2 linked regions of the Tamandua tetradactyla genome follow. The protein of the gene in region 2 purifies or fractionates together with the protein of the main gene of each other region. This does not show direct contact. Links are inferred from orthologs where the notes say so. Each region holds a gene or a part of one and is shown on either strand. Other genes may lie near its edges.

Region 1 (15,740 bases), on a different chromosome or scaffold from region 2:
TAATAGTCAATGTTAACCAAAATTTAATAAGACTGTTTATAATATGAAAAATTACTTAAAACCACGTATGCATACAAAACTAGAATTTAGTTTTCTCTGTAAAATAATGTAAATTGTTAGTCTACTCCTACAATTGATCTTAGCCAAAAGGCCAAGAAGCAATGTTAGTCTACTCTTAATGAAGGGATATAAAAGTTTTTCTCATCCATCTGAATATTTTATCTAAAAGAAAAATTTTATATCATATCATAATAACATCCTTCTTAATGTGTATGTTGACCTTTTCAGCCTTTTTTCAGAAGACAAGTCTTCTCACTCTTAAAGGAAAACTTATAAAAGATTTGTTTTCTCACCTTGTAAAAGTGTTAAAATAGTTTAAGATATTAACTTAAAAGTGTTTAAGAAGTATTACAATAAATAAGATATTTTCTATCCTTCTGTTAGCTAAATTTGCATGGATAAAATGTTATTGATATATTTAGAAATTGTTTCTGTCCTACTACTAATTAGTATAATATTAAAAGTTACAAATCATGGGAATAACAAGACAAGTGTACAAATTATGTTCTACCTGAACTAACATAACTCTAGTAAATGTATAAAAGTAAAACAGAACATGAAGGGGAAAAAAGGGAACTATTAAACTTTCCTATCTAGGAAACCCTGGGTACCTACTCAACCATTGATGACTCCCAAGAAAATAAGCCAAACCCTTGATTTTGAGGCTTGCCCTTATGAAACTTATTTCTGTAGTGGAGAAGCTAATACCACCTATAACGAGGCCTAAGAGTTTCTTCCAGAAAATCTCTTATGTTGCTCAGATGTGGCCTCTCTCTCTCTAAGCCCAACTCTGCAAGGAAAATCATTATCCACCCCTTTACGTGGGACATGACATTCAGGGGTGAAAGTCTTCCTGACAACGTAAGGTCTGATTCCTGGGGATGAGTCTGGCCCTGGCACTGTGAGATCGACAATGCCTTCCAGACCAAAAGGGAGGGAAAGTGTAATAAAATTAGGCATCAGTGGCTAAGAAAGACCAAATAGAGTCAAGAGGCTACTCTTATACAAGCCTCAGTTAGATAGTGCTTCAGTTAGATAGTGCTAATTGTAATGGTTTGCTAAACCCCAACCAACATCACTCCTTGTTAACTCTTAAGAACATCTAGGATCGAACTGAGACTCCATAAAAGTTTCATGCACTAAGTTTGCTTTCCTGGAACCTATAATTTCCAGAGGGTTCCTAGGCCAGATAAATCCTGAAACCCAGAGGGATCAGCCTCTCCAAGATTATCAACTAATTATATCCCCCCATCCTTTAGTGTAGACATCCCTTCTCAACATGTAAAAGTCAGAATGGGCATTGCCTAAAGACCTCTATAGATTAGGAGAAGGATCAAAGGAGGAGGAGGAGTTATAACACAGAAATAGTATTTAACAAATGAGTGTGACTGCTGAATCACTATATTGATATTTCTTCTAGCCTCCAGTGTTTTGGAGCAGCTAGAAGGAAAAATCTGAAATAGCGAATGGCAACCCATAACAAACTCTGAAATCTGGTCTGTAACAACTTGTTGAAATGTACTTTGAAAAGTATTGCTTTTTCTTTCTTTTCTTTGTATATATGTCATATTTCATAGTTAAAAAACATTAAAAAAAGTAAAACAGAAAAAAACTTCTACTATAGTTTGCAGGTAATAAGCCTAATATAAAACAGCTGTCAAATGTTTTATTTCTAAAAGTAAATTCATTTAAAATGCTTATAAAAAATTAAAATTTAAAGTGTAAGCTCTTACAGCAATCACATTTACTCCTAAGCTTTAACTGCTATATCTAAATTCTAAAACGCTTTGCTCTTTGTGTAGCCTAGTAGTTCCCTAAAACTTTTAAGAATATACATAACACCCGAAACTCACAGTTAAAGTTCTCCAGGTCTAAAACTCAGCATTACTCCATACCAGAATATGTAAATTATGCTAATCTAGTTAGGGCTAAGATATATAGAATATTATTTATATTCTAAAACTTTAAAAGTTCTGTGTAAGCAAAGGATAGGTTAAGTCTACTTAAAATTTAGGCCTAAGAGTCACCCCCAAGAGAGCCTCTTTTGTTGCTCAGATGTGGCCTCTCTCTCCAGCCAACACAACAAAGCAATCTCACCACCCTCCCCCTGTCTACATAGGACATGACTCCCAGGTGTGTGGACCTTCCTGGCAACGTGGGACAGAAATTCTAGAATGAGCTGAGACTCAATACGAAAGGATTGAGAAAAAACCTATAATGAGCTGAGACTCAGCATCAAGGGATTTTGAGAAAACCTTTTAAACCAAAAGGGGGAAGAGTGAAATGAGACAAAGTGTCAATGGCTGAGAGATTCCAAACAGAGTCGAGAGGTTATCCTGGAGGTTATTCCTATGTATTAAGTACATATCACCTTCTTATTCAACATGTAATGGAGAGGCTGGAGGGAACTGCCTGAAAATGTAGAGCTGTGTTCCAGTAACCATGTTTCTTGAGGATGATTGAATAATGATATAGCTTTCACAATGTGACTGTGTGATTGTGAAAACCTTGTGTCTGATGCTCCTTTTATCTACCTTGTCAACAGACAAGTAGAACATATGGAATAAAAATAAATAATAGGGGGAACAAATGTTAAAATAAATTTAATTTGAAATGCTAGTGATCAATGAAAGCAAGGGGTAAGGGGTATGGCATGTATAATCTTTTTTTTTCCCATTATCGTTTTATTTCTTTTTCTGTTGTCTTTTTTATTTCTTTTTCTGAATTGATGCAAATGTTCTAAGAAATGATGAATATGCAACTAAGTGACGATATTGTGAATTACTGACTATATATGTTAATGTTTTAGTTCATTTGTTAAATTTTTTTAAATAAATAATTAAAAAAAAAGTTCTGTGTAAGACCAAAATAAGAGCCAAAGTATTATAAGAAAAAAATAAAAATATACATTTGCAAAGTCCCTAAAACCAAAAAAACAAACAAACAAAATCCCATAAAACTATTAGATTTCCCCACCTAGGGAATTTCTTCTATTCTCTTAAGCAGTGTAGGCTTCCGATTTAATAAGTCAAAGCCTTGACCCAGGGACTTCAACTCAAAATGAAAACTAATTGTCCTCACCTGAGCTCTAAAACTAGAAAAAGGGAACACTGCCTTTTTGCATGTGTCCTGCATGCTCATGCAACAGTGTAGAAAAAGTGAATCTTTCTCTCAAACACCACTGAGAAATACTCAATTTCTTAAACGCCTTGCTCTTATCAACAAAAAAAAAACAGCAGTAATTCATTGCCCTGGCCATCAGAAAAATAATCTTAACATCTCTCAAGGAAATAACTGGACCAACACAGTAGCCAAAACTGCAGCCCAGTCAATCAAGCCCCATTCCTGCACCCCTTAACTTAGCACATACAGCACTCTTCCCCAGTTAAACAGGAACAAGCCACCCAGTTAAGATTCACTCTTAGACTTGAAAGATGGTCAGTTCCATCCCTCTTCCCTAGTCTCACTTGGCTAATGCATCCCCTAAGCCCACTTACTTCTACCCTTCCCTTGCTGTTACTAGGCCCTCGCATTATTAAGCTTCTCACCAAGTTTATTTCTTCCAGACTAGAAGCTATTCACACCAAACCAATATTTATGCAAGGATTTTCAGCCATTCCAAGCGTGCCTCCGGGCTTCTCCTCTCTTAAATAAGATATCCAGAGAGTTCTATGCCCCATCAGAGTGGGCTTACACCCCCCAATAAGCCAGAAGCAGCTACAGAAGACAGACCAACATTCCTTGGCATCCCTCAAAATTGAGGGGTGAGAACTCTCTGAGGGGGAATTTGAGGCAGGCTAGAACAGGGAGAGAGGGGAGAGAGTGAAAACCATGAAGCAGCCCTTGAACAAGGATGGTTAATCAAGGTCAGCAGGCCCTGTGTCCAGCACAGATACTTTGCCAGGGGCTACCCGCTTATGGAAAACACTCGGGCAGCTAACCCATCTGGAGCCAAATGACCCCCACCTAAGTGAGTCACCTTCAGAGAAGGGTGACACCAACAGACCCACCCATCTGTACTGTCTACCACCAGACATGGCCCTGGGAAGAAGGGAGGGTAGGAGATAGAGCCCCGAACAAGGAAGGGGAAGGGAAATAAGTAAAGCTAATCTACAAAAGTAAATGGCCTCACATTGCCCATTGCCTCTTGTGCTCCATCTTTCTTTACTTGCAAAAGTGTCCACATGCTCCTTTCTCTGCATGTACACTTAATAAATTTCTTACCTACTTGCTCTAAAAAAAAACCCCACATTTAGACAGAACAGTGTTGTTTTGTTGTTTCGTCTTGTTTTTTTCTTTTATATTACACAGTGGTTCCCTCGCACCACGTAATTCTCCTAGCACAAAAGCTAATCAGGGGCAGATTTCCTGCCTGCCATGCCAGAGACCTGGGTTTGGTTCTCCAGTGCCTGTCCATGTCAAAAAAAAAAAAAAAAACTAATCAAGTAGTACAGTAAGTAGCACTCAGCTATGACTTTCCACAAAGTTCATAACGCAACAACCAACCCATGCCTGAAAGGCTAAGGGTAACCTGACTGGGAGGCCAGTAGTCTGAACTGGGGCACCCTTTATTCATTTCAGCTGTTGACTTCCCAGGCCCCACAATAACTTTCTCTAACCTCCTACGGAGCTTGCCAAAGGCCTTGAGGGCCTCAAGACTTCTGACAATCCACAGTCCCTCTTCCTAGTGTGGTCCCCCTTCCTAACAACAAGAAGCACAGCATCTTTACACTTCCACTTTTAAACTTTAGAAGTTTCTATCCAGAAATCCATGCTTCAAAATAAGAGAGGAAGCACTTACAACTAGGTCAAAGTAGTCATCAAGAACGTAATGTCAAAGTAAAACCCAGCAGAAGGAAGGCTGTGGGAGAACTGAGTCTGGGGCAACCTTACAGTTATAGTGTGTCCAACTGGGTAGGGCTTCACCTTAGGTCCAGGAGACCACAAAAGAATGCCAGTTCATAGAATGGTACTGTCGTTCATCAATTCATTTAACAAATATTAGTAAGCACCTACGATATGCCAGGCTCTGTTCTGGGTGCTGGGATATACCAGCGAATAAAACAGAGAAGTCCCTGCCCACAGGGAGCTTATGTTATATTGGAGGGAGAAAGACAACAGGCAAGAAAAATGAGAGTAATCAAGAAGGGATGGATTATACAGAATGCTCAGAAAAGCAGTTGCAATTTCAAATAGGGTGGTCAGGGAAGGCCTGATTGACAAGGTGACATTTAAGTAAAAACACTGAGCTGCAGGATTTCAAGTGCCTCAGGAGGATGTCTTTTGTACTTCACACCATCACCAGACCTCAGGCCATTGAGGGCACTACATCCCCAGTTAATAGTACAAATACTTGTTAATCCCTTGCACTTAGGACAAAGAGAACTCCAAGATCCAGACCTTGCCCTTTAAAGAGGGTACAACCTTACATGGAAAAACAGGTAGGATAAGTGTTGGCTCTACTGAGGTATAAACAACTGCCTTAGGACACGGGGTAATCAGTCCTTCTGCTTAGGGGAAGGAAGTGAGTATTCAGTGAGTTTGTCCCAAAGAAGGTGACTTTAGAGCTAAATATTTAGAGATGAATAAAAATTAATGGTTGGTGTGTGTGTGCAGGTAGCAAGTTAGCTTTTTTAGGAAAAAAAGGGGAGGGGAGCAGTGTGAGCAATGTCTCAGAGATGAGATCAAGGAGGACATTTTACCCTGGACTATCCCTACCCAAAAATGGTATGCCCCATGCATGCCATGACAAAACAAGCACACAATCATCATCAGGCTCTCTGGCCTGGTTGTAGGTAAATCATTATCACCTACCACACCTTCATTTCTCCCCTAGCCAGAAGAAGAGGAAGAAGTTGAACCAGGTGCACATCCCTAGAATCCAGGGTTACCCTCTCCTAACTTCGGGAGAATCACTACTGAGCTGAAAGCCCAGGTTTCACTCATCTGGATACACACAAAGGTATGTGCTTAGAGTGGCAACATAGCAATTGGCCCCATGTTGGAAGGAAAGTGGGTAAGACATCATTGAAGTAAATTGTCCAAAGTCTCCACAGTGAATCTAAAGTAGAATCAAGGATCAAAACTTATGTTTCATCTTGGAAGGGATATTTTTAATCACTTAGTCCTCAGTCATGAGCAATTAGCATTCCTAATATCCAAGACAGTAGAGGTGTTATGACAGAGGATAAAAACACAAGCTCTGCAGTCAGGTGGCCCAGTTCTGCCCCTCATCAGGTGGGTGATTGAGACAAGGCACTTAAGCCTCCTTTTCATCATAATATGGTCATAATTGTAGTTTTATTGCAGAGTTATCATGAGGATTATATGAGATAACCATGCAATGAGTTTATTACACTGGCTCAATGGAGTCTAACAACTATTATTACCAGCAACCTTTAAGGAGAGGCCATCAACCAGAATCTACACACACTCAAGGAGTACACTCTGACCTCCATTTTACCGCTCTGACCAGGAGTGAGGTACCTGAAATGTTGTTATCCAAAATGTTCATCCCCTGCCCAAGAAAAGCCTCACAAACCAAGGTGGTGTTTTTCTACTAGGATTTCCAGCAGGTGCTAAAAAAAAAAAAAAACTTCATCAGCACCTCAACTCTTTGCATTAAAGAGTTCTCTCTGCAGACCAGCAGGATAAACACATTAGGTCATTAACACCTTAATATGAATGGATTTATGAGAGGTGGAGGTGGGGAGTTGAGAGGGCAGGAAAGAAGCCATTTAAAAACCTGTAAGTCCAGGATGTATTGAAGACTAATTTCTGCCACAAACGTACAAGGTCTAGGGCCAACCCTGCCAAAAGCTGTATTCTGGAATGCTAGGTCTTCTGGTCCGAAGCAGCAGGGCACTGGGGGAAGAAAAAGTCGGTTAATGAAAAACAAGTCACTTTAAGCCACTAGGGTTCTAACCAAAAGATTTTACCTTCAAAAAAACCCAACCATCTCATTCAACGTTAAGAGCTATTAGGGACACCTTTTCTGCCCATTACAAACCATCACAGAAGCTGGAAGCATTCTAAGCCCCCTTCTGAAGGTTACGGGGACTCTCCTCCAGAAGCAACCCCCCTCCCCCCGCAGCCTGCTTAAAGGATGGCAAGACAAAGCATTTCAGTGCTAGAGCACAAAGCCTGGTCCCGGGTCACCAACCCCAAGCGCTGAGAAAGCCCACTGAGGCAGGGCTCTGGGCCAACAAGCCTCCAGCCTTTACCAGTGGCGGACCGGCCAAGGCTGGGGAAGCCGATGCCGCGAAGTCCGAGGTCCTGAGGCAGTGAGCAGCAGAGATCCCGCTAGCACTCGGGCCAGGAGGAATCGATGGGAATGGGACTCGACGCCTGGGAGGGCGCCACAGTTCCGCTAGGAGCTGGCCCCTATCCCCGCCCCTACGGCTAGCTCTCCCGAGGGGCCCTGGTTTTTGGCAGGCGGGAAAAGCCGGTGCACTCCGTGGGGGTGGGGAAGGGAGGAGGCAGAGCCCACAGGGGCACCGCCCGCGTTAGTAACGGGTGGGCCAGGGGAAGAGGACACTAGAGGCCCGGGAGAAAGAAAACCAGCAGGGAGTGACCGCCCCAAGCACACTGGAGGCAACGCGTGGGTGGTCGGTCCAGAGAGGCGAATAGGGGTGAGGGGGCAGACGGTCAGCGAGGAAGAAGGAAAGACAAGAATGGCGTAAGGGGCGTGGGGGAAGGACGCAGGTCCCTGAGACGCGGAGTGGGAGGGGGCGCTTCGGAAACGAAAAGGGGACTGGGGGCCCAGAAGGAGCACCGGACTGAGGGAGAAGGGGCGGCCGCTGGTCGCGCACCTACCTGTCACCTGCAATAAGTGCTGCGAGCAGATGAGATGTCCGAGGGCCGGATTCAGAGGAGAGTCTCAAACTCCAGGAAGACCACAAGCCCGTTCCTGCGGCCCGTCCTTCTCACCCTCCCGGGAGGCGGAAAAAGCTGCAACTTTCTTTGGAGCGGGGAGGAGCTGGACTCTTAAAGGGGCCGCACAGCGTTCTGGGCTCCTTACTAGCGGGCCACTCCCGCCAGGGCAGCTCTGGCCACCAAATGGGTGTCTCCCGGGTTAGGAAAGGGAGCTTGAGGACTGAAGACAGGTTTTTAAGACTAGACGGTTTTAAGACTTTACTTCCATCTGTGCCTACTCTCTTCGATGGTAAAAATTACCTTCTTCCGCTCAGCTGGGCCCAAAGTTGTCAAACTGTCGTGTACTTAAGAATATGAAGACTCTGGACTGCATAAATTGGAAGCCTAAAATGTTATATCATTCTGATCCTTTGGCTTTCGGCTTTTTATGGCAAATAAGAGTGTCTCAAATAAAAACATGGTGGGCAAAGGACATAAACTAAATGTACACACAAGGAACAACTGGTTAAAATATTCAGCTCACTAGTAATCAAAGAAAGCGAATTAGAATGATGCGATTCTTTAGCAAATTTTTTTTTATTATTATTGTAACTTACGGATAGCAAAGTGGCCACGGACGAGCTCTCTCAGACTTGCTAGTAGGAGTGTACTGGTAAAAACCGTCTTACAAAGCTCCTGAGCAATATATACTAATAGATTTTAAAATGTTCATATCTACCCAGTATTGTAGATTGTAGGTTTCACTCTCTCCCTCCCTCCCTCTCATTAGCCATTAAACCTGTTCAAGCCTCTCTGAAGCTGTCATCAGCAATTAAACATGCTCAATTCTCCTTCACCTTAAAAAATATATATCCTCCCTACGCACGAAGTCGACTCCAGCTCCTCTTTATAGGCAAGTTGATTGAAAATGTACTTTAAAGGTACATTCCTATTTCCATTCTCCTACCTTTCATTCATCTCTTATTCTCCAGCAACCTGGCTTCCTTCTCCAACACACCACTTACCTTCCTTGTATTTCTTAGAATAGTAAAATACTAGGGAAGAAAACTAATGGTTCAATGGTTAAGTAAATTAAAGTATGGTCACCGAGAAGATAGGATTTAACAAATGAATGTGATTGCTGAATCATTAAATTGATCTCTTTTAGTCTCCAGTAGCTTAGAGCAGCCAGAAGTAAAAACCTAAAATTGTGGAATTCTAACCCATGCCAAACTCTGAAATATGTTCTACAACTAATTGTAGTACTGTGCTTTGAAATTTATTGCTTTTTTGTATATATGTCATTTTTCACAAAAAAGAAAAAAAGTCGATTGTGATGATAAAAAAATATTTATGCCTTCTGACCTCCTATATTCAGGAGCAGCAGCTAGAAGGAGAAACCTGAGAGGATCATATGTTGGCCCATGACAAACTTTGGGATCTGTCCTGTAACTATTTGTTGAAGAGTGCTTTGAAAACTATTGCTTTTCTCTCTCTTTGTATATACGTTATACTACAAAACAAAAATTTTTTAAATTAAAATATGGTCATACAATGGACTAAATGAATTTTCATTTTTCTTCTTCTTTTCTGTATTTTTCAACTATCCTGTAATGAGCATGTATGGCTTTGATAATATAACAAATCTTTTTTAAAATCTTAAAAAGGTAAAGAAAAAAATTTTCTTCATTCTAGCAGACAAACAGTAAAATACAGCTCCCAGGCTCTTTCCCAGAGTTTTCTTAGTTACTTTAGCCCCTCAATACCCTGCCCCCAGCCTGAAGTGAGGTCATTTCAAAAAGGAAATCCTTTTTTTCTACCTAGCTTTGCCACTTCAGCCTCGAGGCCACTCTACTCAGCCCTGAGCTTTGAATGCATCTCCCAAACCTCCGTCGTGGAAATGATGTACGAGAGGCATAGGAGTCTTCTCTCGCCCTGGCCTGTGGGCATTCAGACCAAGCACTTCTCTGCCCCTTCCCAGGAGGTACTTGGGGAGAACTGCTAACACCCTCAGCCAGAAGGGACTTCAGAAAACATTTAGTTCAACCCTCTTATTCATCAGCAAGTTGCAAAATTTCGAGATATTATTTTAAGCGTTTACTTCTTTCTACATGTGCAATTTCTAACCCTGCAAGGTCTGCCTCATTAAAGAGTATGTGAGGATCTGACTGGTCTTCTCTAAGCGTCTCACTAACCCAGCTGCAAATACACAGAGACACCAACATAAACAATGAACCAAAACAAAGTTAATCAATGGTTTGCTTACATATATTCTGTACTTTGCAAATTGCTATCAATTTCTATTTGATCCTCTTTGTCTGCCACAAGGATTCATATACTAAATAGTTTGAAGGATCTAACGCAAGCAAACCCAGGTGCTATCCTGTGCAAAAATGTAAGCATGAATTTATGGATTATCGTTTTATATATAGCATGTAAGCTCCTAATCCATTGTGAATAATTTGATTCATGGAGTTGTTCTGCTTTGCCACTTTGAAGGAGTTTTGGCTATTGCAAACTAAAGAGATGGAGATTTTCCTCAGCCCCAGGTGACGGTATTGAACAATTACTTTTTTAAAAAGTATTAAATATTTTAAAATTCATAAACATATAAAGAATAATATAGCAACAAGGACATGCCCACCACTCAGCTTGAGAAATAAAGCATTGCCAATATAGTTGAAGCCCATGTACTCCTCCATTCTGAGGTTCAATTCACATGATTGTATAATGTTCTCTGGAAATTCTAGACATACAGGTAGAGAAGGCATAGCGTAGCATTAATTGAGGATTAGAATGCTAATGCATAGGTAAGCACAAAGTACACAGAAAGAAAGGGCCCTGTATAGGCAAATGCAATTGAGCAGGATTGCATGCATAAATACAAAAAGAAAACTCTGGTGACCCCAAGCTGAATGGGAATAGTTACAAATGGCTCCTTAGAAAAAAATTTGGTCTCCTTACACTTTTATTTTAATAACAGCTTTCTTCAGATGTAATTCACATACCATATGATTCACCTATTTAAAGTGCACAATTCAGTGGGTTTTAGTATAGAGTTGTGCAAGCAAGTATAACCTCAGTGAATTTTAGAATACTTTCATCACCCCAAAAAGAAACCACCTACCTATTAGCAGTTACTCCCCATTTCCTTCCAACATCTCCCTCCCCTAGAGAACCACTAATCTAATTTTTGTCTCTAAAGATTTGCCTATTCTGGACATTTCAAGTAAATGAAATCACATAACTTGTAGTCTTTTATGACTGCTTCTTTCACTTAGTGTAAAGTTTTCAAGTTCATCCACATTGTAGTATGTATCAGTACTTCTTTTTGCTGTTGAATAATGATATGCTACTTTTTATTTATCCTTTCATCAATCGATGGACATTTCGGTTATTTCCACTTTTGGCTATTATGAATAATGCCGTCATGAACATTCGTGAATACATTTTTATATGGACATATGTTTTCATTTCTCTTAGGTATATACCTATGAATGAATTGCTAGGTCATCTGGGAACTCTGTTTAACCGTCTGAGGAACTGCCAGACCACTTTCAAAAGCAACTGCCCCAATTTACATTCCCACCAGCAATGTATGGGAGTTTTCATTTTTCAACATCCTCACCAAAGCTTGTATTTATGTGTCTTTTTAAAAATCATAGAACCTAGTGGGTGTGAAGTGTGGCATCTCATTGTGATTTTGCTGTACATTTCCTTAATGACTAATGAATGATGTTGAGCATCTTCTCATGTGCTTATTATCTATTAGCATGTCTAACTTTCTTCAATTGTGTTACTTGTCTTTTTATTGTTAAGTTGTTAGAGTTCTTCATACATTCTACTTATACTTTTGAAATGTATGGTAGAAGGGGAGAAGGGAGAAGGACATTCAAAGGAAGGGAGTAAAATGGAGGTGTATACAAATGTCAATAAGCAGGTTTTGCTGCTGAATTCAAGAAGAGAGTACAGGTCAGGGGAAAATGTGCTGAATTGTACTGAGGATGGGTTCCTTTATCTATGGCCAAGACTAAGTTCAGGACTGGTTTTTCTTTGGAAATTGGTAATGAAGGGCTGAAAACTTTTAAGACCTATTCAAGTGATTTATTCTGAAGTGGACATATACTATTTTTTAAAAAGCCTCTTGGGGAGAAGGGAAGCCAAACCATTACTTACCAGGATATAAAAGCAAAAGATAGGGACTCCTTGGTAAAATGAGCAGTGATTGTTTTTGTGTTTTATTTTATTCTGACCCTCTAGCAATGTTTGATGCTGTTGCCCACTGTTTCCTTCATATATATATATATATATATATATATATATAAAATTACTGTTAATGAATAACTATATACTTGTTTATTTAGGTTTTTCTGAGATATATTCACAAACCATATAATCATCAAAGTGTTCAATCAATGGTTCACAGTATCATCATATCGTTGTGCCTTCATAACCACAATCAGTTCTTGAACATTTTCATTATTTGAAAAAAAATAAGAATAAAAAGAATTTAAAAGACCACCCCAAACATTCCATAACCCTTATTCCCCTACTATTTATTTATTTATTGTCTTTATTTTCTTACTCATCTGTCCATACACTGGATAAAAGGGGCATCAGTCACAAGATTTTCACAATCACATGGTCACACCATGGAAGTTATATAGTTATACAATCATCTTCAAAAATCAAGGCTATTGGATCACAGTTCAGTGTCAGGTATTTCCTTCTAGCTATACTAATCCACTAAAACTAAAAAGGGATAACTATATAATACATAAGAATAACCTCCAGAATCTCCTCTCAACTCTATTTGAAATCTTGCAGTGACTGAAATTTTATTTTGTTTTATTTCTCTTCCTCCTTTTAGTTAAGAAGGCTTTCTCAATCCCATGATGCCAGGACTAGAATCATCCCCAGGAATCATGTCCCATATTGCCAAGGAGACTTACACCCTGGGAGTCATGCCCAACTTTGCTGCAGAGTTGGCTTAGAGAGAGCAGCCACATCTGAGCAACAGAAAATGTTCTCTGGGGGTGAATCTTTGGCAAATTATACATAGGCTTAGCTTCTCCTTTGCAGGAATAAGTTGCATAAGGGCAGGCCCCAAGATCAAGGGCTTGACTTATTAAACTGGGAGTTCCTAATGCTTGTAAGAATACCAGGAATTCCTGAGGTGGGAAATTTTAATGTTTCCACTTTTCCCCCATTCCCTCAAGGGGACTTAACAGATGCTTTTTTATTTTCTGCCCAGATTACTCTGGCATATATCAGGCCATCACATTAACCTGTACAAACCAACAAGATCTGATACCCTATGCAAGATTCATTTAATTATGATGTTCGAATAAACTGACCATATAAGTTAAATTAGATAGTGTATGGAGTAATGCCAACTTCAGAGCTGCAGAACTCTAACTCTGAATCTCAGGTGTCACACAAATACCTGAAGTTCCAGAGGACAAACAGGTTGTACACAAAAAGCTCAGCATCTCAGAATTTAGAAATAACCATTACAATGCAGGAATTGATGTGACTGCTGTAAGAACTTACAATCTAGGAACTTTTAACTACACGTTCCCCCTGATAACCTATGGTCTTGAACTCAATTCTCAGAGTTTGCACATTATAGTTAGTCCATATAAGTCATTGTTATAATATTTGTCTTTTCGTTTCTGGCTAATTTCACTCAACATACTGTCCTCAAGCTTTGTTCACCTAGTTGCATGCCTCTCAACTTTATTCCTTCTTGCAGCTGCTCAATATTTCATTGTATGTATACATCACAGTTTGCCCTTCTGTTCATTAGTCGACATACCCTTAGGCTACTTCCATCTATTGCAAATCATGAATTCTGCCGCCATAAACACCAGTGTACAAAGGTCAATTCCTGTCCCTGCTTTCAGTTCTTCCAAGTATATACCTGATAATGAGGTTTCAGGATCATATGGCAACCCTATACTTAGTCACCTATGGAAACCACCACACTGCCCTCCAGAGGGGCTGCACCATTCTAGTTCCCTACTAACAGTGGATAGGTACATCTCTCTTTCCAGATTTTCCCCAGCACTTGTAACTTTCTGTTTATGTTTTAAAGTGTTTTATTCACACACCGTATTATCCATTCTATGTAAACAATCAATGGTTCCCGGTATAATCACATAGTTACGCATTTACCACCACAATCTATATGATAATGTTTCCATTTCTTCTACAAGGAAAGAAGAGGGAAAAATGAAGAATAAAAAATAAAATAATAAAGTAAATAAAAGGAGAAACAACACCAAGAATCCCATACCACTCCTTACATCCCTCTCTAACTGATGTTTAGCTTAGGTATATTGTCTTTGTTACATTTAATGAATCATATTACAATGTTACTATTAACTATAAACCCTAGTTTGCATTGATTATATTTCTCCCATATACCATCCCATTTTCAACATCTTGCAATGTTGACATTCATTTATTTTCCCTCATACAAAAACATTCTTATATTTGTACATTTAATAACCATCATAGTCCACTTTAGGTTTTGCTAAATTACACAGTCCCAGTCTTTATCTGGTGCCATACATGCCCCTAGCCATCCTCCCTCAACCCATACTCACACTCAGCTTTGTTCACTTACAATATTGTGCTACCTTCAGATAGTATTTTGCTCTCCATTTCTGGACCTTTACAATCTATCCTGTTGAACATTCTGTATCCCTTCAGCATCAAATGCCCAATCTCTACTCTTTTTCCATCTCCTGATAACCTGTGTTCTCAACTTTAACTCTCAAAGTTCACCCATTAATGTCAGTTCATATTAATGAGACCATACAGTAGGTGTCCTTTTGTTTATGGCTAATTTCACTCAACATAATGCCCACAAAGCTCATCTATGGTGTTGCATGTGTCATGACATTACTCTGTACCCTTACTGATGGTCTTCATTTCTACACTCTTCTACAAACCTGTCTTGTATTTTCCTATCTGCTTGTAGTGTACCCTTTAGAACTTCTTGTAGAGTAGGTCTCTTGTTCACAAACTCTCTCAGTGTCTGTTTGAAAATATTTTAAACTTTCCCTCATTTTTGAAGGAAAACTATTTCTAGATATAGCATTCTTGGTTGGCAGTATTTTCATTCAGTATCTTAAATATATCAAACCACTGCCTTCTCGGCTCCATGGTTTCTGCTTTCTTTTCTCTTGTTGCTTTCAGAATTCTTTGTCTTTGCTATTGACAATCTGATTAGTAAGTGTCTTTGAGTAGGTTGTATTTGGATCTATTCTCTTTGGGGTGTGCTGCACTTCCTGAATCTGTAATTTTATGTCTTTCATAAGAGATGGGAAATTTTCAGTGATTATTTCCTGCATTATGCTTTCTGTCTCTTTTCCCTACTTTTCTCTTTCTGAGACACCCATAGCACATATATTCACATGCTCCATGTTGTCATTCTATTCGCTGAGACCCTGATCATATTTTTCCATCGTTTTCCCTATCTGATCTTTTGTGTGTAGGATTTCAGATGTCTTATCCTCTAGTTCACCAATCCTTTCTCCTGCCTCTTCAAATCTGCTGTGATAAGTCACTAATGCATTTTTCATCTCCTCTATTGTGCCTTTCATTCCCATAATTTCTAAATTTGTTTTTTCAAGCTTTCAAGTTTGTCTTTATGGACTCCCAGTGTCTTCTTTGTGCCCTTCATCTCTTTTGCCATATCTTCCCTCAACTCATTGATTTGATTTTTTATTTGATTTAGAATGTTTGTTTGAATATCTTTAATTAATTGTTTTAACTCCTGTATCTCATTTGAAGTCTTAATTTGTTCCTTTGACTGG
Region 2 (15,110 bases):
TTAACATGATGAGCAGATCTTTTATTGTAACAAATAATGTCATTAACTTTAATATGACTAACTTGACATTTTCCCTAAACTGTACACTCTTTTAAAATAGGCAGAATTTGTCCTGCCCAAGGAATGTCAATACTTCTTGGATTTGTTCTTTGCATCTTTTGGATCAAGTGATTTATGCAGAAGAATTGGCTTACTGTGGAAAAGATCAACTAGAAAGCAGTTTCGAGCTAGTTCTTTAACTCTCTAAGTGGCATTTCTAATTTCTACACACTTTTGAAAACAGGATTCCCAAAGAGTAAGACAAATAAAAAGGTTTCTACCAATTATAGAACAGTGTGCTGCAAACAGAACCCCTTTCTTTGAATATATAGTTTATTATACATGGTTCCATTTTTCTTTTGAAGGAATCCTCTGATCCCACACCCTCAAATACATGGTTTGAATAGTTACTATATTGATTCTGAGACTCAACACTACTGCTCTAGTCTAACTGACCTATATTTCATAGCTATATTTCAGTAAAATCTCCCTAAATCCAATGCCTTCCAGGAACTGAAGGGCAGGAAACTGATTTCTGGTTCCTTGGATCTCACTCATACATGAGTCTACTCTAAAAGTCAAGACACACTTTGAAAGAGTGAAAAACTTCAAGAAGTCCGAATCGTCAAAAACATACTTGACCATAAAAACTGCTGAGGACCAAAAGGAGACAATTATGCTTCAAGGGAAATTTATCTTCATAGCCACTCAGTTATTTTTTTGCAGAGAGAACCAAACATAGAGTTCATTGACTTTCTCACAGCTTGCACAGGAAACAGATAAATGCCAGGCCTTCCCCAAGTCTGCAGAGGAGACCAAGCCCACAGCCTCGTTTAACTTGCCCTTATGGATATGCAAAGGTACGCTCAATTTTTCATCTCATTTCACCTTTAACTAGGAATACTCTGCATTAGGATTTCAAACAGAAGGACTTTTATCCATTTGCCAAGTATGTCAACTCTCAGGACAGGGGGTTCCTAAATTAAAAAGGAATCCAGAATCAGGGTTAATGAGGAAAGCATTTGACTTTGCTTGCTTGGTTTTTCTAGTATCTAAGTGAAACACTAAAGAGATTTGGAGAGATTATATAGGCAAATTTAAAAATCCGTAGTACCTACTAATGGCCTAGTGAAGGCCTGTGAGAAAAGCAACTGGAAAGTTGTTCATTTCATTTTATTGCTACTATGTAGTCTTCAACAACCAGTATACCATTTCCAACTAAAGATGAAAGAATAAGCTTTTCTTTATGATTCCCTATTTACCCTACTTATTTAACTCTGCATCATTACATTGTAACTTTCACAGTTATGAATACAAGAAGGTTTCACTAAAGTGACTTTTTTTTTCTAAGGTATATCCTGCAGTGTTGTTTCCAGCCTTGCATCCAATGGAGGCATTGTATCTCAAAACCCTAAGTCAGAGTTTGATAACAGATATTATATGACCAAGCTTAGGAATATCTGTCTAGGATAGAATGTGGGTGGAGTGGGAATGGAGGCAGGGACTGGAAATGACAGTTTCTATATATAGTTAGTTGTGGTTATCTATCTTCAGTTCATTCAGGGAATTAATAATTTACTAAATGGGCTGTTTTGCACCTGCTTTCCAAGCATTTGGGCAGAAACTTCAGAAAAGTAGAGCCTAAGTCAGACTAAGATTCATTATTCAGTATGTGGCAACTCTTGACATTGGAAAATGTTTCTATGTTATTTTTTCATTTTAGCAAAAAGATACACTTTTCCCTTTCTTCAAAAATCTACTCTCATTCCATATTTGAATATTCCCATATGTCCAGAAATTTTTATCAACAGTATTTTTTGTTAATGAGAATAACATACTTTGAATAATAGACAAAAAGTTATTCTTTTAACAAACTTCTCAGGCTCTGAGGGCCTTCCCTAAGTTGGAATGGATAAATATAATTCAAAGCAATTTTGCTTTTTTAAATTATTTGTGTTCTTGTGTATCTCCCAGGTCAGATTTGATGCACAGTTTTGTTCTTCTGAACAAGTTAAGGAGAGAAGCAACAAAAAATTCAGATTGGATTGACCCCAATTTCACCAGAATCAATATAAATGTATGTGCTACACAAAGACAAAAATAAAGTCTTGTTCTTCTTCTTATACCTTTTAAAATTAAAGTTTTCTCTCTTTTGTAGTCTACATATCTCTCTCCCTCCCTCAGACATTTGCATGTATATCTACATATATACATCTACATATCTATTTATCTATCTATCTATCTATCTATCTATCTATCTATCTATCTATCTGTCTAGATGGGTGAATAGATACATAAATGGAAGGAAGAGAGGAAAGAAAACAAGAAAGAAGGAGCCAAATATGAAACAAGAATTGTAGGTTATTCAGGTTTAGACTTTCACAATAAGGATCTTAAGTGTTTCACAATAAGGATCTTAAAATAATTAATCAATTCCTTTTATTTTATACAGTAGAAAATCAAGTTAAGGAGACTTAACTCCATGCCCACAGCTTTATGCTGTCAGTACTAGCAGTATTTGATCAGTCATAGACTCCTAATGGCTTGATTCAAACAGCACCAGTTACGACATCTGTATCTGCCCCTTTGAATTTGTTCCCAAAAGGCCTTGGTATCCTTGACTACTCTACCTACTTAAAAATACTTCTACTGCATTTCTGGGTATTAAACATTTGGTTTATATGGTAGTTAACAGTTTAATTTACTTTGATCTGTTTTGCTATTTTTACAACTGTATTAGCTAAATATTAACCATCATTTCTTAATGCACGATCTAGAATATCTATCAAATATCAAACAAATTATATTCTTATATTTGTTAGAATCACAGCTTTGAATATAATTTGAAGCTCATTTAGTTCAACATCCCCATCAGCTCCTTTAGTGTCCTAAGACCTTTCCTAGGTTAGCACTGGCAGACCCTTTTCCCTCTGCTGGAGTGTTCTCTCCTAACTCTTTACCTGGTGGGTATCCAGACATTCTTCAGTTCTCAACTCAAGTGCTGTTTCCCACCATTACTCTTTCCCACTAAAAGAAGTTACTTTCAGTCATAACAACTTCTCAGATTTATTTTAATTGTTTTAGTGTTAGCTAAACCTTTCCCATTTTTGAACACTGTTTTCTATTTTTTTTTTTTTTGCACGGGCAGGCACCGGGAATCGAACCCGGGTCTCTGGCATGGCAGGCGAGAACTCTGCCTGCTGAGCCACCGTGGCCCTCCCAAAACACTGCTTTCTTTTATACAAAAGAAAAGGGCAGCAAAATAGAAGTTGAGCGATCTTACTTTCTCTCACATCTAGTGACATGGCAGTTCTTTATTCACCACTTTGCTCTAAACATGTTAAAAGATCTTTATCTCTCCTTAGCCTTTATGTAAGCTTCGGCCCATTTTGGACTTTACTCTTCTTCATACTATGCTTTCAGCTTCATCCCCATCTCCCTCCTCATCTCAGCAATATCGGACACAATTGGCCATTCTCTTCTTGAAATATTTTCTTGTTTGAGTTCCACGACTACACCTCTCCTGGTCTGCCTCCTATTTCTCGGTTTTTTTTTTTTTTACCAGCTCCTTCTATTCTAGATCCCTAAATGCTAGAATAGACCTTAGTGCTCTACTTTTCTCTCTCCTATCTCTCTAGGTGATACCCTCAAGACCATGACTCCAAGAAGCATCTATAGGCAGTTGAATCCCAAGCTTCTCTATTCAGCTGTGATTTCCAATTGCTCTAGATTCACGTACCAAAAAGCCCAAACGGACATTTCCAGTTGGATACCTAAAAAGACCTCAAATGGGTGGAAGTGAACTCTAATTTCCCTTTCAAATCTCTTCCTCCCCTGGCATTAGCCATCCTAGGAAACGGCTTCACCCAGTATCTTCAGTACAAAGCCTAGTGATCATTTTGATCTTTCCCTTCCTGTATTTCTCACTTTTTATCTAATCCAAGAGCAAGTAGATAGATACTTCCAGAATCTATCTACTTCACTCCATGACCACTGTTCCAACAATTATCTATGCCACTGTCATCTCTGGAATAGCCTCTTAACTGGTCTCTACTTCTGCTCTAGACGCCCTGAAATCCATTTTCTTCAAGGTAGATAGAGTTATCTTTTAAGCAGATTGTTACCCCTCCTGAGGCTTTTCCCAATCACTGGATCACAGAGTCTCCTTGAGTCACACATTATTTTACCCTTAATTTTTTTTTTCCTGAATAGCTATCACTGGAACGTACAAAATCATTTGTTTATTTACTCATGGTCTATCTCTCCACACTAGAATGTAAATGCCATAATGGCCGAGCCCCTTTATAAAGTGATATATTCTTCTTGGAATGCCCTTGGGTATCCACCATGCTTAGAGGATAGCCAGGGCTATAGGGTGCTCAGTAAACATTTGTTGAGTGGATCACTGATAAATTGTATCTAAATCATAGTATCTCCTCAGATCATTCAGAATATAAATCAAAAGGCACCATGCTGATTATGACCCTCAAAGCTCTCCATGACCAAGTCCCATAACTGCTCTGATCCCATTACTTGCTTCTCTCAGGCTCACTCCCTCTGCTCCAGCTACACAGCCTTCTTCGCTCTTCTTAGGAGATGCCCTGCTCTTTGTTCCTTCATTCTGGAATTCTCTTTCTCTTTGTATCCACTTGTCTCACCCCCTTACTTCCTTCAACTCTATATGCAAATATCCTCTTCTCAGTGAGGCTCTCCCTGTGCACCCACCCCGACTTCCAAATGTCCCTTGTCCAGTGTTACCAGCACTTGCTCCGCCTCTGTTTTCTAGTCTCTCCTTAGCCCCTACTTTCATGTACCCTGATTTAACTTGCACACCTTGTTTACTCTCTGTCTACCCTTGTAAAATGAAAGCTCTATAGGGACAGATATTTTTGACTGCTTTGTCTACTTCTATACACAAAGTGCCCAGAATAGTGCATGATGCTATTAATAAATACTTGTTATTCAATGAACAAGCATCTTAATATACTTTTACTCTCATCTAGTTGAGCAGATGTTTAAGAAGACAATTTATTGAAAATTTTTTGGCTATTTTTTAAAAGGCATTTTATTCTCATTACTGGTGATCTAGAGAAGTTTCCCTCATTTTAAGGGCAGCTGATGAGAAAAGATTAATATTTGGAGAACATGAATAATGATTGCAAATTGCGTAAAACAAATTGAGCAATACTCTCAACTCCATATATGGGGTTTACAATAGGTTTTTCATGATTCTTTAGTGATGCCATTGCTTCCTACCATGATGGAATAAATTGAAGTTCCATATACATCTAATAATGGATTAAAAATCATTTCCCTTCAAAAGCCATCTTTAGAAAGTGATGTATTCTTCATGGGAAACACCTGGGTTTGCCCTGTCTGTTTTCATGGTAATTGTTTTCCATGTCAACATTGCAATTACTTGCTTAAGAGCTGAACTATTAGCTAACCAACCAGTTCCTTGATGAATCAACTCAAGAAACTGGATTAATTATGAGTAGAGCTTTTACGTGAATAGTTGGTCTAATTTTGTGTTCTATTGAACCGAGAGACCAAAGAAACTAGCCAGAAATTTCCCATTATGAAGGTAGGAAAGGAGCAGATTTCTGTTCTGAACCACCTGGGACTTAGGCTCACTTCCACTTTTCCAGAAGAGTGAAAGAAATGAAAAGCAATTCTTAAACCAGCAGATAATTTTAGTATAACTTGGTGTATTAGGAGCTGAGAAGTCCACTGGTGTTAGAATATCTTTTCTGCCAGGTCAAATATGTCTGTTCCAGATATGGCCTATGAGAAAGTTGTGGTTTGCTTACATTTGACATATTCTATTTATTCGTTCTTGGCAACTATGAGAACAGGCTCATCCAGTTTCGTCTGAAATGTTTTGTTTTCCTTTTGAAAGCAATGATAGTAAGATTCTACAGAAGTTCATAGTTCTTCATAACCAGAAAACTTCACTGATATTTAAATTACCTATCAAGATTTCTCTTTCTTTGGTCATCGCAAGAATCCCTTCTTGTCTTCCAGAAGGGCTGATCCCACCTAACTGGAGGATTTTACTAGCAAAGTATGAAAAGTAACTATTTGGGGGGGGGATGGCATAAGACAAGATTGGATCTCACTTCATAATTATGATGTGAACTATAGAGAAGCTTGAGAATTCAGTAAGCTTAAATGCCTTAGGATATAATGCTGAAGTCCATCTTTGTTAATTTTCAAAGTTGAAAACTATAAAATCATGCATATGAGTACATATATTTATTTATTACTGAATATGTGTATGTACAGAGAGAGCTAAATGCTGGGAACAGTGCCCATTTTTCTTTTAATGAGAACAAAATCAATATTCATTAGTATATATATTAAAATAATAATTATGTTGCTAGTAACCCTGAAATTACATGCTATTATTTGTTTTTAATTTAATGATGTACCATTTGAATAGCTGGAACCTTGTACCCTTCATTTCAGACCTTGAATGAAAGAACCTGCAGCATGTACAGGTGAGGTGACTTTAATCAAATACAGCTTTTTGCTAGGAACAAAACTTCTGCTTTTATGAGTTATATTTCACCAGTTTCATTAGAATTCACATGCTTAATTAGATAATGTATTGGGTGGGAATACCTTGGAGGCCAATTTATTCTGATCTCTTGAATGGAGAACACACACACACACACACACACACTCCAGTAGCTTCCACACTTAGATCAGAATGGTAAGGAATGCAGCAAAAACTGGAAAACAGAAATTTCTCATCTACTCGAGTACAAAGCTTGAAGAAATGCAAAGAATATCCCATCACTTGCCTGACTTGCTTCACTAATTCACTTCTTAAATGCAACTCTAGTCGCATTATTATTATTATTATTATTATTTTGATTGTTTTTGAGATGCAAACAGGAGGAAACAGGTATCGCTGTGCCTTTTTTTTTTTTGTCCTAACCAGCTGTTTAATATGCAAATACCAAATAAACAAAGACAGGCAGCTAGTTTTCTGATGACAGCTGTGCACGCACATCAGCGTCTACTTCACAAAGATTTCTGCTGGAAACTGCAGCTCTAACGCGCTCACACACAGACCCCGACTCGTCAAAAGCACAGATGCCAGGCGCCCTCGCCTCTTTCCAGGCCTGCTGCTCCTCATCCACGTCTCACTTCCTTTTTTGCAGGCCAGCAGCCGAGAATACCCTGGAAGGCTGATCACACATTCCAGCAGTAACAGCCCGGCTTCCCCGACTTACCAGCCTGCGAAGTTTCCTTGGCCGAGAGGGCTGGGTGTCAGGTTGCACAGCCGCTTCCTTCCCTTTCCGCGGCCCTTGGGTTCCTGGGCTCCAACACCAGCGACAGCCAGGGATCTGGGCTTCACAAGGCGACCTTGCCGGGGACGGCTCCCGACCTGTGGCCCCGGATCGCTCCTCCACCGGTCGGTCCCCGGCCCTGCCAGGCGGCTGGCACCACCCCCAGGAGCCGGCCGGAGCCGCCTCGGATCTGAAAGGTCCGCGCGAGGAGAAGGCGTGTCTCCCAGGGCCAACGCGGATGTGAGGCGCTCACCTCAGGCAAAGCTGGCTGCTGACTCAACCGCTGGAAGCAGAAACACACTTGGCTTTTGGTTAAATTCTCCACACTGTGGGGTTTCCAGCCCCAGCGATGAGTTCATTTTTATAAGTGTGTTTTTCTGTGTTTTCTCTGACATCTCTTATTCAAAAACCCAGGGCATGGTGAGGGGAAATCTTCCAATGCACTGCATTCTCTACAAGGGAATCTCTCTGTCACTGTAGACAGGAAGTAAAAGGGGAGTTGTAAAGAAATGAGTATTCCTAAAGTTAAGATGTATTAACATGAATACTTTCATCAGTACGAGCCATCCTAATTGTGCTTCCTTAAAGTCACATCAGAGATCAGCGTGTTAGTCACTGCAGGCTAGGAGTGCAAATGGAATAAGTGAAAACACACAGTCATTGAACAAAGATGTACTAAGTGCTGACTATGAGGCAGGCCCTGCTCTAGACAGTTCAGCTTCATCCATCCATAAAAACAGACCGAGACCCCGGCCGGCCCACTTGGGGTTTTATTGCAGACAAACTGACATCCTTAGTTTACAGACTGATAGTGAAGGTAAGAATACAAGCTTGTGACATATAATAGCAGTGAGGAAAATAAAAAAGCTTCAAACCTGTTGCTTGCATTCATGCTGGTGACCAATAAGCAGCCTGTTTCACCCGCTCTCGGGGCGCTGGCCTTCTCAGCTTGGGGCCAACCCCTTCAGCAGTGTCATGAGGCGGGGTGAAGGAGCAGCAACAAATAAAACAAAATAGTGCAGAAGGGGGGAAAGGGAGGACTCACTGTGTCCCAGGGAAATCTGCCTGCTCTATTAGGAAAACACAAAGTTTCTATGTTCTGGGCCTCAGTGTGCTTATCTTTAAAATGGGGGATAACTGATAATTATTGTCTTCATAGGGTTACTGTGAGTAAATGAGTTCATCCAAGTTAAGTGCATTAAACAGTGCCTGGCTCACAGTCAGTTCTATGTATGTGTTGGCTAGTCGTAATTACTTTGGTAGCAATTAATCTACTCCATTCTCCCATGGCACAATCCAGTTCATATATACATATATTTCTGATCTACTAGGAGAAAGTATTAGAGGTTTAGGTTGTGAATTTTCAAAATATGTATTCCAGGAATCTTGATGGTATATTTATTTGCATCCATCAGCGGTATCTGATGTGTGTATGTATTTGCTGGCCTGGTTAGAGATAAAAGAAAAAACATGAAGACCTTGAATTTGTTCCACTGAATATAACACGTTATTAATTTAAAATGTTTCTTTGAGATATAAAATGATAACCTGTTTTGTTTACCTAGTTTGTGTGTTCACTTACTAACATTGATCTTAATAGTGTATTTCCTATGTGCACTAAAATTTAGAAAGTTTTTGCTCAGAGATCATCTCATTTGTTTTTCACATTATTTTGAAATCGGCAAGGCGCTTCTTATTTTTATTGTTCCCCTTTTAAGGATGAGGAAACTGAGGTTGAGAAAGTCCTAACCATTTGCCCAGAGTCGTGAAGGGCAGTAAAGGGAGAGCTCAGATCCTGACCGCTGAGTTCACGGTGATCACTACAGTGTTGTCCCACCACCCCAATATTTCTAGAAAAAGTTCCAGCCATGAGAAAATCTAACGCACACTTTTATTGTCTGCTTTCCTTGTCACCCGTCTGCAGACAAGTGTGTCAGCACTCCCAGAATCAGCAGCTGCAGGGACAGCTCTCCTGGAGTCACTTGCCACATAGAGTCCTGTCTTTCAGGTTTGAGGGCTCTGAGCCATCAGTTTCCCAGGGATGCTACTTGAGAGCACTGGAATGTTTCTTCCCTGTGGGAAGAGGGGTGCTGAGGAGGAGCAGGCAGTGGGTGGCAACCAGAGAAATGTTGCATGGCCACTTCGTAAAGCCCGCTTAAGCAGAGTTAGGGCAGCATAAAAATCACCGGAAAACCAGTGAACACAAAGTGACAGCATCATGTGTTATAATAAAAAAGCCTGCCTGTACCTGGAGTTCATGAAGCACAAATTAAATAGAGATAATTTCTGCTTTCACAGGATTATAATTCAATAAATGCAGCATAGAGGTGAACAGATTTAGAAATATACATGGGGAGACTTCCAGTTAAAAATGGTAAATTGATCATATGTGTTTCATCGCTCCTATCCAAACTCCTCTAACAGTAGAGTAAATAAAATTTTAAAAAGTTATTAACCCTTAAGGACAACTAAAAAGGAGAGAATAAACAAATAAAAGAGATACCAACAGACAAAATACACTGCAATGGATTTTGGGATGACCCTGAATCAGGTGGAGGCTTGGTAACTGATTTGGAAGACCAGACCAGTTTATACAAGATGTGCCTGCAAGAAAGGTTAGGTAGAAGAAGGGAGCAAATTCTGCATAACCCTTAGAAGCTCAGGCCTGAGAGGCCAAAATACCATAATAGAAAGAGGCCTGGTATTGGGGTAAATACAGGGATTTGGTTAGAAGTCTGCAGAGAGAATGCTTGGCCACAAAGTTTCAATCCCCCATGCTATGCAATCAACCCACCATAAATTCCTCCGTCTGCTCAACCTAGCTTAATTTCTCCAGCAGGAGATAAGCAGTTACCCTCTGGAGAGAGAAAACTAGAGTAATGTGTGGTTCAACAAGATGAACTGAACACACACATTTTATCTCTGCTCTTAGAAAAAATGAATAAAAAAGAAATTTATATACAATACAAGATAAAACTTTTGAAATTGAAAATATACTCAAGATTTTTTAAAAAATTGATAGATGGGTTGGAAGATGAAGTTTAAAAAATATTCAAGAAAGTAGAAAAGATGGAGAAATTAAAAATTGGAGAAAAAAAGAAAAATTTCCAATTGGAATCCCAGAAATTTCCAGAAAGAGTTATCTCTATTCAGAGAAAAAATAAGAAAAGAAAACGTGCAAACAAATCCAGAAATGAAGACCATGAACATATGATCTCAAAAGTCCAGGAGAAAAACCATTTAAAATTAATTAAACACACAAGACATATCGTTCTGAAATATCAGAAATATTCAGGAATAAAGAGAAGAATCTAAAATATCTCCCAGAAACATGAAGCAGATCACTTACAAAGGAAAATAATTAAAATTACATTGAATATCTCAAGAATAATACTGGATCCCAAAGATTCTTTGAATGTGCTCAATTTTTTAAAAAAATGAAATGACTTTGAACTTAGATTTGTATATCCAGACAATCTGTCATTCAACTGTGATTAAAGACATCTTTAGACATGCAAGGACTCAAAAAATATATCTCTCAAGAACAACTTTCAAAGAAGGGCTCCCAAAACAAGCTTCTAAATCATGAAAGAGGAAGAGACAGAATCCAGGAAATGTAGATTCAATAGATGAGAGAGTATAATAAATTCTCCAGAACAATTTTGAAGCAGGCCTAGAGAGAAGCAGATGAATGAATGGTAGCAGTACAAATGGTCCAAGAAAAAAGGGAAAAAGAATAGAATAGCAAAAAAGAAAATGACCAATTATTAGATGTACATGTACATTTGGAAAAATATATTGATAAATGTTTATGCAGTGAATACTAGAAGAGCGCATCAAATTCCATGTTCTTCTCTTTTTCCCAGAGCACCTTAAAGAATTAGATTTCTTAGCCCCCTACAGCTGCGGTTAGTGGGTGGGGAGGCATGGGACTAAGTTCTAGCCATTGAAATGTGGGCAAGAGTGAGTACGCCTCTTCCAGGCCATTCCCCTGAAATGACTAATGAGATCCTCCAGGCCTTTTCTCTTTCCTTATTGCTGTCCAGGTAATACAGAGAATCAGTACAGAGCTCTGAGGCAGTAGAAGACATTAATAAAAACCTCTAGGTGAAAGAAATGCGTGGTGCAAATGATTGCATGATCTAGAAACCCCAGCTGATACCATTGGGTTGTGACATGTGCAAGAAATAAACTTGTATTGTCTAAAGCCACTGTAATTTTGGGACTGTTACACAGACCATTCTGTTAAAATTAGCAGGATCACTTGGGGCATTTCTGGCTAATACTAAACATACTTTTTTAAAAAAGGACATGATTTAACTCCAGGAAAACAAAAAGTTGCAAGAGAAAAGGCACGTAATTATGGTAAACCACTTGGCTCAGATGTAGATCAGAATAACGTGAACACTAATGAAAGAATTAATCCTCAGCTATGTTATAACTGTATGTGGAGGGTGGTGATAGGAAAAGACGATTTGTGCAACTAATTTAGATAACTAGATCCTAAACTATTTTAACATAAACTCAATAGTGTGTAAAATTGGTAAATAAACTGTTTTAACAATTAAAAATAAAATATACATAGGGAAACAAAAGACATTTGTTCAATAGAAAAAAGGCATTGCAATTTATTAAGTATTTGTGTATGTTAATAAAATAACCTATAAGCAGTAGAGAAAGTGAATTTGGATTGGAAAATGAAGACAGACTTTAGGGTTTACACAATCATTTATTCATTCAACAAACATTCAAGTAGCACCTTGTGTCTGACACTCTGCTAGGCACTGGGGATACATTAGAGAATGAAAAGGAAGAATAAAAGCAATCTAAGAGAAAATGAACATTTAAAAAGCTTTAAATGAGTACATTTGGTTTCTTCTCTTATATTTGGTGGCATGAGTCGTTAATCCTTTTTAGGCAAGATGCCATCCTTCCTTCTTCAAAATCCTCTTAAAAATTGCCCTCTTTTCTCCTGACCTGAGCCCAACACCGATGAGATGGAAACTTTCTCCTGGGATTGTGGGGAGGGTTTGGCCACGGAGTCATGCAGGCATCTGCCTCCATCTTCTGATGATCCTTAGTTCTGTGTCTGTCTAATCACAATAAAAATCAACCCATCCCCAGTGCCAGGAAACCCCAAAGCATGACTAATATGTCACAAGACTAGACTCCCAAGTCATGCAAGTTTCCCTAACTACTTTCAAAAATGTAACTCAAGAAATACATGTTATATGTTTCAGTTACTTTCTACAAAGCAAATTACTTGAAATGTATAGCACATTAAGACCTATTTTAGATTTATTACACCGGGCCTGTTTACACGATTATATCCAGAATAACTACCAGACAGCGGAGTCTCATCCTTCCCAGCTCTAACCTCATTTTGCCTTAGTTTCTCAAAATGTGAAATGAAGATATACTGGGGCCTAATACGGCCTTTAAGATCTGTCTGTTTTAAAGTTAGAAATAAAAATAAAATATTTGTTTAAATAATTTATTTGGCTATTAATAAACCTCCAATAAATTAGTTGGAGAAAATTTTACTGTATAGCTCCACATACGGCAATCTTTCAATCATTTTGTTACAATTAGACTTTCCTATTTAAAAATATTGCAAAACAAAAGCTTTTGAAAATATTGGAAACTTACAAAATTCCTTGAAGTTCACTCTAGCATCTAACCCCCTGTTTCCATGACTCCATGACCTCATGTATAGCAACTATTATTTTTATTTCACATATTCTTCATTTTGTATTTTAGCATTGGCTTTTTATCTCTGATTTAGTCCTAAGGAACAATAAAACATTATACATCCCTAATGCCCGCCTACTGCTATTGCTGGCACAACTGATATTTATTGGCCGTTACAAGGAACAGTCGACTGCATTTCTCACAGTAATTTCAGAAGGACTTTCTGCTTACACCTCAGCATATTTAAAATATTGCATGTTCATACTGATGAATTTGTGCCATCACACATGCAAAAATAAACTATATTTACTAAACCAGTTGACAAAGGTAGGTAATTAGATATTCAAATTTAATTAATACAAACATTAAAACAAAACATTTTGATATTTACAGGGAGAAGTTTTTATTTGGGACATTTATAATAAATGGAATACCAAATTTCCTAATGATGTCACAGAAGTCCAGCAGTTTTACACTTTAGCCTTGTAGATCCACAGTTGTATTTTTTATATTCCAATGTTTCAGAAAAATGTTCATTTTTTTCTATAAATGAATGAAATAAGTAAAGTTGAAATTAAATCACAACAGTAAAATGGGTCATAAAGTTGAACAGGCATTTTATAAAAGAAGATATTCAAATGGCCAAAAGCATGAAAAGGCACTCACCTCATTAGTTATCAGAGAAATGCAAGTTAAACCACAATTTACAGCTATGTGCGCACCAGAACAGCTAAAATGAAAAAGATTTGATAATATCAAGTGCTGATGAGGAATACGGAGCAATTGAAACACTCACCCACTGCTCCTGTGATGGCAAATTGGCATTTATGTTTTGGAAAACTGAGCTCAAGCAGAGTTATGACCCACCAATTCCTCTCCTAGAAACATCATCCCCAGAACTTCATAACATGTTGACAGTCTTTTACAAGCGCTATTGATAAAAACTGCAAACTGTAAACAACTGAAACGTCCAAAGAATAAAAACTTAATTTGAAGTATATTCATAAATTGACATATTGTACAGTGATAAGAAATAGGAAATTATTGCTACCTGCCAACAACATTAATCAATCTCACAAGCATTGACTAATGAGAAAATCCATACCCCAAACAATAAATTCTGTAGGATTTCACGTACTTTAAAATGTCAAAATCAGGCAAAACTAATCTGTGGGCTTTAGAAATCAAGGTAGTGGTTCTCTTGCAGGAAGTGGAGGGTAAGACACAGGGGATTTCTAGTTACGTGCTGTCCCTTCATCTGTGTGCTGGTTATGTAGGGTGTTTCTTTGTGAAATTCATCCAACCATATGCTTTTTCTTTGTACACATTACTGAATGTATTTTATCCTTCAATAAAATTACCTTAAACTAGAAATCAACAATAGGATATAATTGAAATCAGATTAAGGAGGAAAAGAGGCTGAGAAAGACAGGATGAAGTCAGAAGCAGGGTTAGTACAAAAAAATGCATCCTTTCTCATTATTACCACTGTTAGAGGCAGGCCATGCAATAGTTATGAGTCACTGTAGCCATAATATAAAAACAAATGTGTTGCTCAAGGGAAGCCCACCCATTATTCACAGGAGTAAGCAAAGAGAAATTTCCCTCATGCTCATTAAGAGGCTTTATCGTATATGATGAGCTATAACTTCAAGAACTTTCTTCAGGTAAATTTCACAATGAATTGCTTGGGGTGGTTTCTTAAAATGGCCATCAGTGTAGAAGGATGGCATTAATAGCAAATTATAATTCAGTAAAAGTAGTTCTAGGGAAAGTGAGGGGCTGTCAAAATGCTGTTCTTTGCATGTTTGGCTTAATCCAGAAATTGATTTAAGAGTATGAAACTGATGAACTGTGTAGCCTCAGATACACACATTGTGTGAAATCCTGAAGCACAAAATATTTAAGACTGTATTTTGTCAGGAGTACTAGGAGAGCAGCGAATAAACGTTGACAATTAAATGAGAATTCACATGTTTTAGCCAGTGGGATTAAGATTGGCTTCATGTTATGAGAGCTGAGAAGCTTGACATAGACGTGTCTGCAGAGAAGAGCTCCCTATTTCTGCCCAAGACTAACCCA

What was found.
Region 1: the proteins of RAB27B (region 2) and SYTL4 purify together in Homo sapiens (co-immunoprecipitation; 3 studies listed by BioGRID and IntAct, counting the BioPlex papers as one, with this or other methods). This does not show direct contact. The link is inferred for Tamandua tetradactyla from reciprocal best matches to the Homo sapiens genes RAB27B and SYTL4.

The regions. Positions count from the first base shown.
Region 1 is NC_135353.1:73,160,331-73,176,070, reverse strand, and holds the start of SYTL4 (synaptotagmin-like protein 4), read right to left. Parts: upstream 8,006-15,740; 5' UTR 7,876-8,005; intron 6,925-7,875; 5' UTR 6,853-6,924; exon of another isoform or gene 6,806-6,852; intron 1-6,805. UniProt on the Homo sapiens protein: Modulates exocytosis of dense-core granules and secretion of hormones in the pancreas and the pituitary. Interacts with vesicles containing negatively charged phospholipids in a Ca(2+)-independent manner.
Region 2 is NC_135344.1:27,604,654-27,619,763, forward strand, and holds the start of RAB27B (ras-related protein Rab-27B), read right to left. Parts: upstream 8,264-15,110; 5' UTR 8,213-8,263; intron 7,812-8,212; 5' UTR 7,281-7,811; intron 1-7,280. UniProt on the Homo sapiens protein: Small GTPase which cycles between active GTP-bound and inactive GDP-bound states. In its active state, binds to a variety of effector proteins to regulate homeostasis of late endocytic pathway, including endosomal positioning, maturation and secretion.